Linked DNA regions of Arabidopsis thaliana. The protein of the gene in region 1 interacts with the protein of each later gene in a biochemical or structural test. Each region holds a gene or a part of one and is shown in the gene's direction. Other genes may lie near its edges.

Region 1 (6,707 bases):
TGATGATGATGATTCTAGTTTGTTGAACAAGTGTTGTGACGATGAAGTCTCTTTTATTGAGCTTGGAGGAGTGTGGCAAGCTCCTTTCTATGAGATAACACTGAGTTTTAATCTACATTGCGACAATGAAGGTTTTTTGGTTTCTCTATGTCACTTGCTAGATCGTATTTGAAACCCATGAATTTGATGGTGTTTTGTGGACTTGATAGGTGAGAGTTGTAATGAACAGAGAGTGTTTCAAGTGTTCAATAACCTAGTAGTGAATGAGATTGGAGAAGAAGTTGAAGCTGAGTTTTCCAACCGGAGATATATAATGCCCAGAAACAGTTGCTTCTACATGGTTTGTGTTTTTTACTTGTCTGATTTTATGATTCTATAAAAAAATGGAAACTTTTAGTTGCTGTGTGAAATGGTTCTTCTGATATTACAGTTCTTTTTACCATGTTGCCTTGAAGTCTGATTTACATCACATCCGAAACCTCGTTCCTGGTAAGTCTTGTGCTATTGTCCATTATAGATAATTTGCTAAAAGCTGAGATTTTAGAGTATTCTGGTTCTTGTTGATTGGTCCTGAGTCATGTGAGAAAAGATCAGTCATTATCATATCGGTAGGCGATGTAATAGTCTTATTGATGTCATATATGCAGCTAAATCTGAAGAAGGCTACAATCTTATAGTTATTGATCCGCCTTGGGAAAATGCAAGTGCTCATCAGAAATCAAAGTTCGTTATCTACTTAATGTATGCATGTGGATAAGTATTTTTTGTATCTGAAAGTTCATGACCAATGTTTCTTGGTTCTTTGTTTTAGGTATCCTACTTTACCGAACCAATACTTCTTATCTCTTCCGATCAAGCAGCTTGCTCATGCTGAAGGAGCTCTCGTGGCTTTGTGGGTGACAAATAGAGAGAAATTACTAAGTTTTGTTGAGAAAGAGCTATTCCCTGCGTGGGGAATTAAGTATGTAGCTACAATGTATTGGTTAAAGGTGAGCTCATCTTGCAGCTCTCAGTCCCCATCTTGGTTTCTGAGTTGCACATATGACTTGACATTTTACATACTTGCTATGTAAATGTTTCAGGTGAAACCGGATGGTACACTGATTTGCGACCTGGACCTGGTCCATCATAAACCTTATGAGTACCTTCTACTAGGCTACCATTTTACCGAAGTAAGTCAATTCATTTTTTTGTCACTTGAATAATCTGAGAAAGGAACTTCTGTTTGAACAGCCATGTTGTGTATACATGTCATAGCTTGCAGGATCAGAAAAGAGGTCAGATTTTAAACTCTTGGACAAGAACCAGATAATCATGAGCATCCCTGGTGATTTTTCGAGGAAACCCCCAATTGGAGGTATTCTTATGTTTATATTTTCAACAGCTTTGTTCTGCGATTGGCTTCATCAAATTCAAGAGTAGATAATGCAATTTTTTCAAATTCTTGGTCTAAAGCTCCCCTGATTCTTGTTTGTTTCCACTTGGACTTTGTGTAGATATACTACTGAAACACACTCCCGGGTCTCAACCTGCTCGGTGCCTTGAGCTATTTGCGAGGGAAATGGCTGCCGGATGGACCTCTTGGGGAAACGAACCGCTTCACTTTCAGGACTCGAGATACTTTTTGAAAGTTTAGTGGGCGCATTCCCTAGGGTGTAACCAAGAAAAAGGCTGGCTTGGGCCCTCATGATCGTTTTTCTCTATGACTCATTCTCAAGCTGGGGACAGTTAGGAGAGAACCCTTGGAAAGAAGTGGAAGGTTCGGTTCATCGCAAACGACATCGTTTGAAGAAGACAACACTAGAGTAAGCCTGAAAAAAGTATAGTGTTACTAAAGATTATTTTGTCTCAGAACTGTACCATCAATTTAGTAAGCTTTTTCCTTTTCCTTTCATAAACAGATGATGTTTCAGATAAAATTTAAATATATTATCAGTACAGTAAGATTACATACTATATTAGTATCACTATTCTGCTATTCACTAGATTTCTTTTTCTTTTTCAACAAAATATGAATAAAATAAAGGCAAAAGCGTGTTAAATATAAATTCAATAAGTGACTACTCGTTGGAAGATCATATCTGCTTTGATGGGTCTATTTGTGGGGCAAATCCACTATCCAGTTTTCCTTTTGTGTTCAATGAACTATACAATTGTCAAAAAAAAAAAAACATGAGAATTAAAGAAAATCATCATGACCAATGAAGAGCAGGTCCCAACAATAATTCCGAATTATAGGCTCTGATTGTTATAGCAATCAAACAATATGCTTACAAATCACAAAACAAAATTAACGATATTTCCAAATATAGAGCTTTCCAGTTTGACTTAATAATGTTGTGTGAATATCCTCACATTTCCATTTTCGACTCTCTTTAGTAAATTTTGAAGTAGTAGAATGATGTAGAATGTTTTGTTTTATCAATCACACAGTTTTGTGAAATCACGATTTCCATCCACTATTCAAGAAAAACATCAAGTGGAAGAAATAATAAACCAAAACCATCGCAACAAAATGCATATCACGAGTATAGAATGAACAAACTACACTGTCAAATACTTAATTTAGGACTTAAACTTCGCTTTCAGACAACTTGGTTCGGAAACTTGACCATCCGTCATGTTGATATACACAATCCATCTCAAATGTAGTAGTGAATCACTATATCAGCATGTGTTATCAAACGCAAGTTGTCACTAAGATCGGAGCTTCTAGTTCAAAATGTTGATAAGTATTACGAAAGTACAATTGAATATACCAATTATACATCCAAACACGTCCATGCTTCTCCACTCGAGTTCTCTTTGGAAATCTATATAATCCGTCGGTTTGGTATTTTACTAGTTGTACGTAGTGTCTCCCCTCATATGTATTGAGTCTTTATAGTTTGTTGCCTCGTATACGATAGAAAGTAAAGGCTAAAAAACCATACTATTTCATAAAGGGTTTATTTAGTTAACTTTTAATCTAAACCATGTATCACTCCATTTTACGTATATTCGTTTTCACAAATAATCTACTAAATAATTTTGTAATGTGATAAAATTAAAGAATAAACACATGATACATAAACAGTCAGGACAAAAGTAAGCACTCATTTTCTTCTATTCATACTATAGTGAAACACTATTTTATTTTTATCCATATACTATAGTGACAAATTAATCTAATCATTAAATGTTATGAGGCTCAAAACAATTTGTTTTCTTATTTAACATGGCCGATCCCCTCATAAACCAATCAGATGGTGTGTTTTCCGGTCATACTCGTGTAGGACCCACTTCATTACAATGGCCCCACATGTCTCTCTATCTTTTTCTCCTCTTTATAAAATCAGCTCCTTTTCTTACACAGATTTAGAGAAACACAACATAAAACGTACTTCTTCTTCAAAACGCGAAACCACACTGTAAGTTACGTACACCACCACCTATCCTCACCATTCATCATCGACACGTGGCTGGTTTAACTCAAATCAACGGTGAATTCTTTTTGCTTTTTTATTTTAAATAATGAATGAAAAGATTCTTCTATAATTCCAGCGAAGAAGAAAGAAAAAAAAAAGCGTATTCCTCGTGAGCACTAACTTCTCACTCATTCTTCTTCTTCAGCTGAATCCAAATACCCATTTCCATTTTTAACCGTGGTTGGATTGTTTTGAGAGTTGAAGGAAGAAGATGACGTCTGACGGAGCAACGTCGACGTCAGCTGCAGCTGCAGCAGCAGCGATGGCGACGAGGAGGAAACCGTCGTGGAGAGAGAGGGAGAACAATCGGAGAAGAGAGCGGCGGAGAAGAGCTGTTGCGGCGAAGATTTATACTGGTCTTAGAGCTCAAGGTAACTACAATCTTCCAAAACATTGTGACAACAATGAGGTTCTTAAGGCTCTTTGTTCTGAAGCTGGTTGGGTTGTTGAAGAAGACGGAACTACTTATCGCAAGGTCAGTATCAAACGCATTTTTACTTAGATCTGATGTTATCTGATGATTTAGCTGTTGAATCTGAAGATTTGGATTTGAAATTGGTCAAATTGGGATTTTCTTGGCTATGAATTCGAGGTTTTTAGCTGAGGAAGCTCAGTTTTATTCTAAAATTGGATCGAGATTCCTTGCGGAGAAAGTGACCTTTAGGGTTCTTCTTACTAATTTGAGAACCGAATTAGCTTTACTTTCACTTGGTTACTATATTTAGATCTCTCCTTTAGCTTTTGATTGATTGTGACATTGTGATGTTTTTGGTATTGTTCTATGAGCAACAGGGACACAAGCCTCTACCTGGTGACATGGCTGGATCATCTTCTCGAGCAACTCCTTACTCTTCCCATAACCAAAGTCCTCTTTCTTCCACTTTTGATAGCCCCATCTTATCTTACCAAGTCAGTCCTTCCTCTTCTTCATTCCCGAGTCCTTCTCGAGTTGGTGATCCACACAATATCTCCACAATCTTCCCTTTCCTCAGGAATGGTGGTATTCCTTCATCGCTTCCTCCACTTAGAATCTCAAACAGTGCTCCTGTCACTCCACCAGTGTCATCCCCAACTTCTAGAAACCCCAAACCATTGCCTACTTGGGAATCTTTTACCAAACAATCCATGTCCATGGCTGCTAAACAGTCAATGACTTCTTTGAACTACCCGTTTTATGCGGTGTCTGCACCTGCCAGTCCTACTCATCATCGCCAGTTCCATGCTCCGGCTACTATACCTGAATGTGATGAGTCTGACTCTTCCACTGTTGATTCTGGTCATTGGATAAGCTTTCAAAAGTTTGCACAACAACAGCCATTCTCTGCCTCTATGGTGCCAACCTCGCCTACCTTCAATCTCGTGAAACCTGCACCACAGCAATTGTCTCCAAACACAGCAGCAATCCAAGAGATTGGTCAAAGCTCCGAGTTTAAGTTTGAGAACAGCCAAGTTAAGCCATGGGAAGGGGAGAGGATCCATGATGTGGCTATGGAGGATCTAGAGCTCACGCTTGGAAATGGTAAAGCTCATAGTTGAGATGAAGTATACATGAACCTGTTATGTCATGTCGGAAGGAAGGATTGGAGAATGAGAATTAGTGTGTTGTTCATTCAGTTCATGGTTTTGGTTCTTGTTCTAGAATCGATATTCATTGTACCAGTGAGTTTGTTTCACAACGCATTATTTGTAGATAGAATGTTTAAGATGTATGTTTCTATTATCATTCCTTTTAGGTCTTGAAAACATTACAAATATATTACATGATTAAGTGGCTTGAAATGTAAATTATATATCGGATGATGAAACAGAGAAAAACAAGTGAGGCTAAAACAAAGACTTGGGATGTAATAACAAGATCAGAGAGGTTAAGAAAGAAAAAAAAGACTTGCGATTTTAGCCATAAGATACACAAAAATTCATAATACAAAGAGGAAAGTAGAAGGCATGAAGCAGTAAACATTGGAAAAGGGAGAAATATATTAGAATCACAAATGTCAAGAAACTCGGAAAGTTTTTTTTAGCCTATCTGCTTTTCAGGTGAATCATTCAGAACCATCGGGGAAGCTATCAAGCGCGTCTTGCTTACCGTTAACGTAGAACTCAACGACGGCTTGCATTCTATTGAGCTTATCTGGATGGTAATTCACATGAACAATCACTGGTTTCACTTTCTTCTTCAGTTCATGATTCTTTCTTACAGTCTTGAAAAGGACCTTACTGTTCATAAACTCATACATATCCATGACTCTCTTGGATGCATGTAGCGCAGTGTACTCAGGATGTGAAGGATAAAACAGTTCCTCGTTGAAAACCGCTTGGTCCCACACTTTAGCCTTAGAGAGTCTATCTGCCACGCGATCAAGCAGCTCGATTGATGGAATTGTAGGCCTCAAATAGAAAAACCCGGAATTGAAAACCCATATCCTCATAGTGTGAGCATACCGAGCCCATCCCATGGCTGGTTCATCAAACACATCATTGAACCCATAAGCCGTATGATTGTCATGGCCATCACTCATTGACTCCACATCAGAGTCTCTGTATAGATGACTAAATGGGTTCTGCAAGAAGACAATGTCCACATCCGAGAGAAGAACACCATAACCGAGTTGCAAGAACTCTCTTAACACACGGAATTTCAATCCAGAGACAGCATGGTTACCTCCAGTTTTCCCAACAGTATCCACGTCCTTGTCTGGATCTCTCTTGTAATACGCAACATCGTTCTCTTTACATAAATTCTCTATGTAATCGTCCAAAGCAACAACCAGATAGTTTGTTATACCCACTCTCTTAATGCTAGCAATCTGAACCTCCAACATTGCTTTCACATTTGCGTTTGCAAGAGCTACAATTACCTCTTTATCAACAGCAATCTCCTCTAGAATCTTTGCCAATCTTGGGTTTATAGATTCATCAGGAAGAATAGTTGGATTAGTTCTCAGACTCTTGACAGTTCCAAAAGGACCAGCCTTGATCTGTGTTCCCAATGCTAGAACCTGTTTTCTTGCATTGTCTGATCCTTGCTCCGCTAACCGTAGCTTCTCTGTTAACTCTCTGACCTGCTTCTTTAACTCTGCATTCTTCTCTGAGAGAGTTACAAAGTCTGATTTTAGCATTTTCACTCGTTCTGGCGATTCACAAGCTGATGATCCAACCTAGACAAAGCAAGTGTGGAATTTATAAACCACTCAACTAAATTCCAAATTAAGATACAAAATCCAGTAATCAACCAAACCA
Region 2 (7,005 bases), on another chromosome or scaffold:
AAGTTACAATAATAATCATATAGAAACAAGTTCAATAGCAAAATTAACTTAGACATGCAATTTACCGATTTCTTGACATTAGTCGAAAAACATTTGAAACTCGGTTATACAATGAGGTTATCGTTCAGGCCTCTGGAAAGAAAATCAATTCTATAATACTTCAATAACTTTTTAGTAAAACTAACTGGATCAACTGATGAATCATATATCAAAAAAACAAAAAAAAAAACTAACGGAGGTAGACAATAGTTTAGCTGGAATGCTTGAAGAAATGGCAAGAATATGCTTCGAGAAGTTATGATTTATGAAGAGGTTACCTGCAAATTTTTTCATTTCTTTTTGCCGACGGTTGGCTGTTAGTTAGGAAAAAGAATTTTTGTTATAGGATTTTCTCTTCCGTTTCGTACAAACCCAATCATTATTCTCGTCTTTATACTTAACTTTGCCTCTCATTTTCATGTTATCAATCTTTTAAATTAAATATATCGTCAATGACTGTTATGAATAATTAGTTCTTCATTCTCTGCCTTGGTTCGAACCTCAGTCACATGGTGCACGTTATTGTGATTTCCCATACCTCAAGAGTTATTCAAGATCCCTTACAGAAATATATTTATATAATCTTTTATCTAATGTAGTTATTTACAAACATGTATTATCTACCAAAATAAAAAGGGCTAAAAGCTTCTTGAGTGAGACCGCTTTTGGTTCGATTCATTTTCCTACACTCCAATAGTATTACACTATTGTATATAACAAGAATCGTGGGATTTGTTTAATCCGTACAATGAAACAAGAAAGATATACAATAACTTAATATCATTTTTTTTTGGGGACAATCTTAATATCATTTCTAATTTCTATAGAACCAAAAACACTCATAACAACTTAAACTTTGTTTTTTGTGAGAAAAATAACAACTTAATTACTAGTTACTACATTGACAATTTAACATCTTCAGCTAAAACCGAATGTATATGAACATTTATAATCTAGTTGCTATTGTATATACGATTGGATAATACGCATATCGACATTTAAATAATTGAGCCTGAAGATAATTCACAAATATGCAATGTAAATCCGTCCATACAGCCAAAAGTATGTATGTCCCATGCATAATTGAACAAAAAGAAATTATATTAATATTATTTTTGTTGTCTTCTGCAAATGCTAGGACTGCTATCATTATCATCATTGATTTTAATATTGATGTTTCCAGAAAAATAAATAAACAAATATAAAGAAAAAAACAAACACAATAAGTAAAGCTACACTATTAGGTAATAATTAAAGCTCATTTTTAAGTCTAAAATTTTAATTATAAAATAAAAACATTAAAAAGTTAAGACCCAAAGAAACATAAATGCTTTTTTCTTTCATCAATGTCAAAAAAGAAGTTTTCCCACCAAATGGTCAAACTTGGATCTTTGACAATATTGTTCCAATTTCATCATGCCCTATCTTTTCTATTTATACACATACCTTAGATATAATTATTAAACCCAAAATTTGTGTTAAGAAAAAAAATAGACCCAAAATTTGTGTTAAGAAAAAAAATAGACCCAAAATTTGGAATATATATATAAGTCACCGCTGGAAAAAAAATTATTGCAAGTAATTTCTTATATGAAATTGGAATGATAATATTTTGATCAAGTATCCATTACTAAAATTTTACAACGCTAGATAACGAGATTGCTTGAAGTCGAACTTGTGAACAAATTATAATAATGTAAAACTAACTTGTATTGACTAATCTTTGATTTTTTTTACAATAATGAGTGATATTACATTCATTTTATTAACTAAATACAACGAATATGATAAATATTCAGTCCTCTTATAAACTTTATGATAGTGAAAATTTGAGACATTGACAATTCTAGCATTCTAACATTTTATGAGATTACATGAAATGTCAATTTAGACCTTAAACCAAACGAATACATGATTCAAATTTGACCGACAAGTACATGATGCCTTCCCTTTGATCACGAAATTTCCACAAAGAGTCCGTGTCTGCGTAATTAACCAGCAATTTCAAGGGTGTTTACGTAATTGTAGCTTAACAAATAAAAAACACGAAAGAAGATGGCGAAGAAAACGGAAAGTAGTAGATAGATAAAGAAAGAGAAAGAGAAGAGCTGGATTCACATGGTCTTGTTCTTTCTCTCTCCTTCTTTTCTCATCTTGCGGCTTCCCTTTCTCTCTCTATCGCCACAATGATCATTACCAACCAAACTGATTGAAACTCATTTGTTCTCTCTCTCTCAAATCCACTCTCTCTCTTTCTTTTCTCTTCTCCTCTCTGTGTCTCTATCGCCATGGCTGATGATAAGGTAAAGCTGCTTGTGTTCCTTTTGCTGTCTTTTGAAGAAGAAGATCCTGTTTTTTGGTTTTTCCACATTTGACCCTTCAATTAGTTGTCTTGAGATTCCTGTTCTTACAGATGTTTTGTGATAATAAATCTAGTTTAGTTAGTACTCTTGAAGTTGAACGGTTTTGAGTTCTGGGTTTGTCCAAAGTTTTGAGCTTTCGTTAACTTTTTGACTTACCCTGAGATCTCTGAGGGTTTTGAGTTCTGAGCTTAGAATTTTCTAAGTTAGCTCTGTTGGGATGATCCATGTCTATATATCTCGATCTGTGATTAATCCAGAGTTTATACAAGCTGCTAGATCCATAATTGAACATAGATTAGTCCTTGTTTGGTTTGTTATATGTATTTGTTTTGTTTACCATTCTTTTGGCGTGACAAAAGTATATATTTTTAGTTTTAACTAAATCAGATTCACTCTGCGTAACGGTTATTTTGTAACCACTCTTTTAGGATAAAAGTTTCCTTCTTTAGACTTTTGATTCTCAGACAAGCATTATTCTTTTAGCTTTTGATAATGGTTTTGTGCTGATATTAAAGCTTTTCTCTTTCAGGAGATGCCTGCTGCTGTAGTTGATGGACATGATCAAGTCACTGGTCATATTATTTCCACCACAATCGGTGGCAAAAATGGTGAACCAAAACAGGTATTTTTAAGGCTTTTAACCAAATAGACTCACTTTTATGTATATGCAAGATTTTGATGGTTACCAATACATTTTTCTATGTTGTTGTTAGACAATTAGTTACATGGCGGAGCGAGTTGTTGGTACAGGCTCGTTCGGGATCGTTTTCCAAGCAAAATGTTTGGAGACTGGAGAAACCGTGGCGATAAAGAAGGTTTTGCAAGATAGAAGATACAAGAACCGAGAACTTCAGTTGATGCGTGTGATGGATCATCCGAATGTGGTTTGTTTGAAGCATTGCTTCTTTTCGACTACAAGTAAAGACGAGCTTTTCTTGAACTTGGTTATGGAGTATGTCCCTGAGAGCTTGTATCGAGTTCTGAAACATTATAGTAGTGCAAACCAAAGAATGCCTCTTGTCTATGTTAAACTTTACATGTATCAGGTAATAACAACACACATTCATATCTTCCATTTCCAAAGTTGATGTACATAAGATTGTTCTTAGGCTGATATTACTTCCTTTTGTTATGTTAGATCTTCCGGGGACTTGCTTACATTCACAATGTTGCTGGAGTTTGTCACAGAGATCTAAAGCCTCAAAATCTTCTGGTATGTGTAACATTTTAAGATTGAACTCTTTGTTTTTTTTCTTGCCTTTGTTTCTTTCGTTCTTAATGTATCTCTTCTGGTCTCTTTCTATAGGTTGATCCTCTTACTCATCAAGTCAAAATCTGTGACTTTGGCAGTGCGAAACAGCTCGTAAGACTTTGTGACATATAAACTCATTCGACTTGTAGCGGTTGTTGTTTTCTGTGATCTTGTCATTTACTGTTGAAATTTACTTTTGCTTCAGGTTAAAGGTGAAGCCAACATTTCTTACATCTGCTCACGATTCTACCGTGCACCCGAGCTCATATTTGGTGCCACTGAGTACACAACTTCTATTGATATCTGGTCTGCTGGTTGTGTTCTTGCTGAGCTTCTTCTTGGTCAGGTAAACAATTCTTTCAGTAACCAGCTTATTCAATCTCCATGTGTATATTTGCATTAGGACTCATTGTGACTATATCATGTTCTTATGCAGCCATTATTTCCCGGAGAAAATGCTGTGGATCAGCTCGTTGAAATTATAAAAGTAAGAATCTTTAAACGATGATTCCTTGCAAATTACATTCTTTGGCTACAAAATCCTCACTGTATAGTTGTTGTACACAGGTTCTTGGTACACCAACTCGAGAAGAAATCCGTTGTATGAATCCACATTACACAGATTTCAGGTTTCCACAGATAAAGGCACATCCCTGGCACAAGGTTAGTGTCTTTTCTCTTTTTGCATGTGTTCTTGTTTCAGTTTCTTTCTTCACACATCAACTGATCATAATTACGTTTTGGTTTAGATCTTCCACAAAAGGATGCCCCCAGAAGCGATTGATTTTGCATCAAGGCTGCTTCAATACTCTCCAAGTCTAAGATGCACAGCGGTAAGCATTGGTCTTGAGGTTTCTTCAGTCTCTAAGAATCCAACTGAATCCTTACTATATATTTTGTTTCCTCGTATTTCAGCTCGAAGCTTGTGCACATCCGTTCTTTGATGAACTCAGAGAACCAAACGCTCGTTTACCAAATGGACGGCCTTTCCCGCCTCTCTTCAACTTCAAACAAGAAGTAGCTGGATCATCACCTGAACTGGTCAACAAGTTGATTCCAGACCATATCAAGAGACAATTGGGTCTAAGCTTCTTGAATCAATCTGGAACTTAAAAGGGATCCTGCAAAAGACAACTACTTTTTTATATATAATGTACCATTACACGAGCCACAAGGTCGTAGTTGAAGGCAAACGTGGAGGACACAATTCAAAGTTTTTCCTCCTCAAACTCGTTCAGACAAAGCCAGCTGCTAGCAAAACCAACTCCCCCAAATCTGCGAAAACAAAAACTCTCCAGTGTTGTATCTGCTTATTTCTCTTCTCTTTTCAAGTTTGGTGAAAAACACAGTCTCCTCTTTGCTTCATTTCTTCTTTCTTTCCCCCTTATGTAAATGAGTTTAGTCAGAAGTTTTTTTATATAGTAAAGTTTGGGCAGAAGGTGAAGAATGTAATCAAAGTGATACTCTTTCAACGAGGAGCTTCTTTCAAACACTTTTTTTTTTTTTCAAACACTTCATGAATGGATACATGGTTTTGCTTTAAGCATAAGTATATTTGTATTAAATTTTCACTCAATTTAATTGCACGAATCATTACAAAAATAATATCTCGCTACTCATATAAATACCCTATAAATAAATAAGTGAATTTTTTTTATCTCTCATGGAAATTTGATTTATGTATTTATATGTTTTAAGATTCGAAGAAATTTTTAAATAATGAAAATTTACAAATATATAATTCTTAATTCAGAATTTCAGATATTGAATTACTTATTGGATTTTTAAAACAAAAAGAAAATTACATGACTTTTTTTTTCTTTTTTTTTTTTAAATATCTGTTAGTTCAAGTTAAAAGACCATACATTTTCTAAAGGCGGGACCTATATCAGGTTAAATTCATCTCCTTTTAGAAAAAAAATATATTTGGGAAAGGCTTTGATAGCAAGCAATTAAAGTATCCGAAACTAACAAAACCTATCTGGTCTTGGACTCTTAGTCTTTATATAAACAACATCAGATAGATCGAGAGACCATACGCAACAATTTACTAATTTCTCTTCTCCTTCGTTGCTTTTGAAACCCTAGTTATTATCGAGAGATCAAACACGTACGTACACAAAAGACCGATCAAACAGAGAAGGATGCAGAAGCGTGAGTTCATGGAGTTGTTCGAGGCAGCACTTAGAGCGGCTAAGTCTGTGAAAGGTGATGAGAATTCTCCAGAGGTATCGAGGTTTGTCGATGCCATGAATCGTTTGAAGGAAGCACCCAAGTCACTTGTTTGTGACGTGGTCTGCAAAACCTCCATGGGGCAGGGTTTGGAATTCTTCATCGATCACAAAAACCCTAAAATTCGATCGGAAGGAAGGATTCTTCGGGATCTTTGGATGAAGTTTTTTTACGCTTCAGGTAGAGAAAAGAGCCGTGATAATAGAGAAGCTGCGGTGAAGATCCCGACGCACGCAACGATGAAGAAGACTGGAGATTCAAAGCGAGACAAAGTGCGTGAGATTCTACAAACATCTTTGGCTAAAGTCGCTTCTGAGGTTGTTGACACGGAGATGAAGACACGAGTGACTGCTTGTGATCCTTGGGTTGTGGCTGTATCTGTGGAAACTGCAATGTTTGAGAACTTAGGTTGTTTCATGGGACCTCAAAAAGCAAAGTACCGGTCTATTCTGTTCAACATGGGAGATAGTAACAATCCAGATTTGAGGAGGAAAGTGTTACTTGGTGAGATTAGTGGGGAGAGATTAGTGAAGATGGAGAAGGAAGAGATGGGGAGTGAGAAGATTCAGAAGGAGGTTCAAAGGATTAAAGAGAGAGCAAGATTTAAGGAAGAGAGTCGCGTGAAGATGCTTTCATCAGCAGATATGATCATCATTTAGTTAGCTGCAGAGATTTAGTCATGAGTTTCATTATTGTATAGAATCAGTATTCGTGTCAATTTTCTATCACAAACTCGAGATATTAGTAGATTGTAATTTCAATACGATGATCGTTTTCAAGTTGCTTCATTGAATGGTGTTTCTAAATCTGCGTTTAAAGAATCTAGTCAAAGTGTTTCGTTTCATAAGAGGGAGCTCTGCAGTTTATGCAGTTTAAGGGGTCTTTGGTTTTTTCTTTTGAATGTTTGTCTTCTATTCGCATTAGGACTCATTGTTCTTATGCAGCCATTAATTCCCGGAGAAAATGCTGTACAATGGTTCCTTGCAAATTACATTCTTTGGCTACAAAATCCTCATTGTATGAAGTTGTTGTACATAGGTTCTTGGTACACCAATTCGAGAAGAAATCCGTTGTATGAATCCACGCATTACACAGATTTCAGGTTTCCGCAGATAAAGG

The links. Proteins that work in one complex are often made in the same cells at the same time.
Region 2: of the proteins of BES1 (region 1) and BIN2, one has a biochemical effect on the other in vitro, tested with the Arabidopsis thaliana proteins (3 studies listed by BioGRID, with this or other methods).

The regions. Positions count from the first base shown.
Region 1 is NC_003070.9:6,685,163-6,691,869, forward strand, and holds BES1 (Brassinosteroid signaling positive regulator (BZR1) family protein), read left to right. Parts: upstream 1-3,372; 5' UTR 3,373-3,517; coding exon 3,518-3,576; exon of another isoform or gene 3,577-3,671; coding exon 3,672-3,942; intron 3,943-4,259; coding exon 4,260-5,003; 3' UTR 5,004-5,249; downstream 5,250-6,707. Other genes in the region: AT1G19340 (Methyltransferase MT-A70 family protein), read left to right, coding at 1-131, 210-340, 456-489, 648-723, 812-989, 1,083-1,172, 1,258-1,357, 1,497-1,636; RRA3 (Nucleotide-diphospho-sugar transferase family protein), read right to left, coding at 5,510-6,625. UniProt on the Arabidopsis thaliana protein: Positive regulator of brassinosteroid (BR) signaling. Transcription factor that activates target gene expression by binding specifically to the DNA sequence 5'-CANNTG-3'(E box) through its N-terminal domain.
Region 2 is NC_003075.7:10,294,147-10,301,151, forward strand, and holds BIN2 (Protein kinase superfamily protein), read left to right. Parts: upstream 1-1,991; 5' UTR 1,992-2,327; coding exon 2,328-2,342; intron 2,343-2,379; exon of another isoform or gene 2,380-2,931; coding exon 2,932-3,024; intron 3,025-3,115; coding exon 3,116-3,448; intron 3,449-3,540; coding exon 3,541-3,615; intron 3,616-3,708; coding exon 3,709-3,765; intron 3,766-3,859; coding exon 3,860-4,000; intron 4,001-4,090; coding exon 4,091-4,141; intron 4,142-4,221; coding exon 4,222-4,317; intron 4,318-4,403; coding exon 4,404-4,487; intron 4,488-4,569; coding exon 4,570-4,767; 3' UTR 4,768-5,243; downstream 5,244-7,005. Other genes in the region: AT4G18720 (Transcription factor IIS protein), read left to right, coding at 5,799-6,441, 6,925-7,005. UniProt on the Arabidopsis thaliana protein: Negative regulator in brassinosteroid signal transduction pathway important for plant growth. May be also involved in auxin signaling pathway. Phosphorylates and increases the degradation of BZR1 and BZR2/BES1 by the proteasome.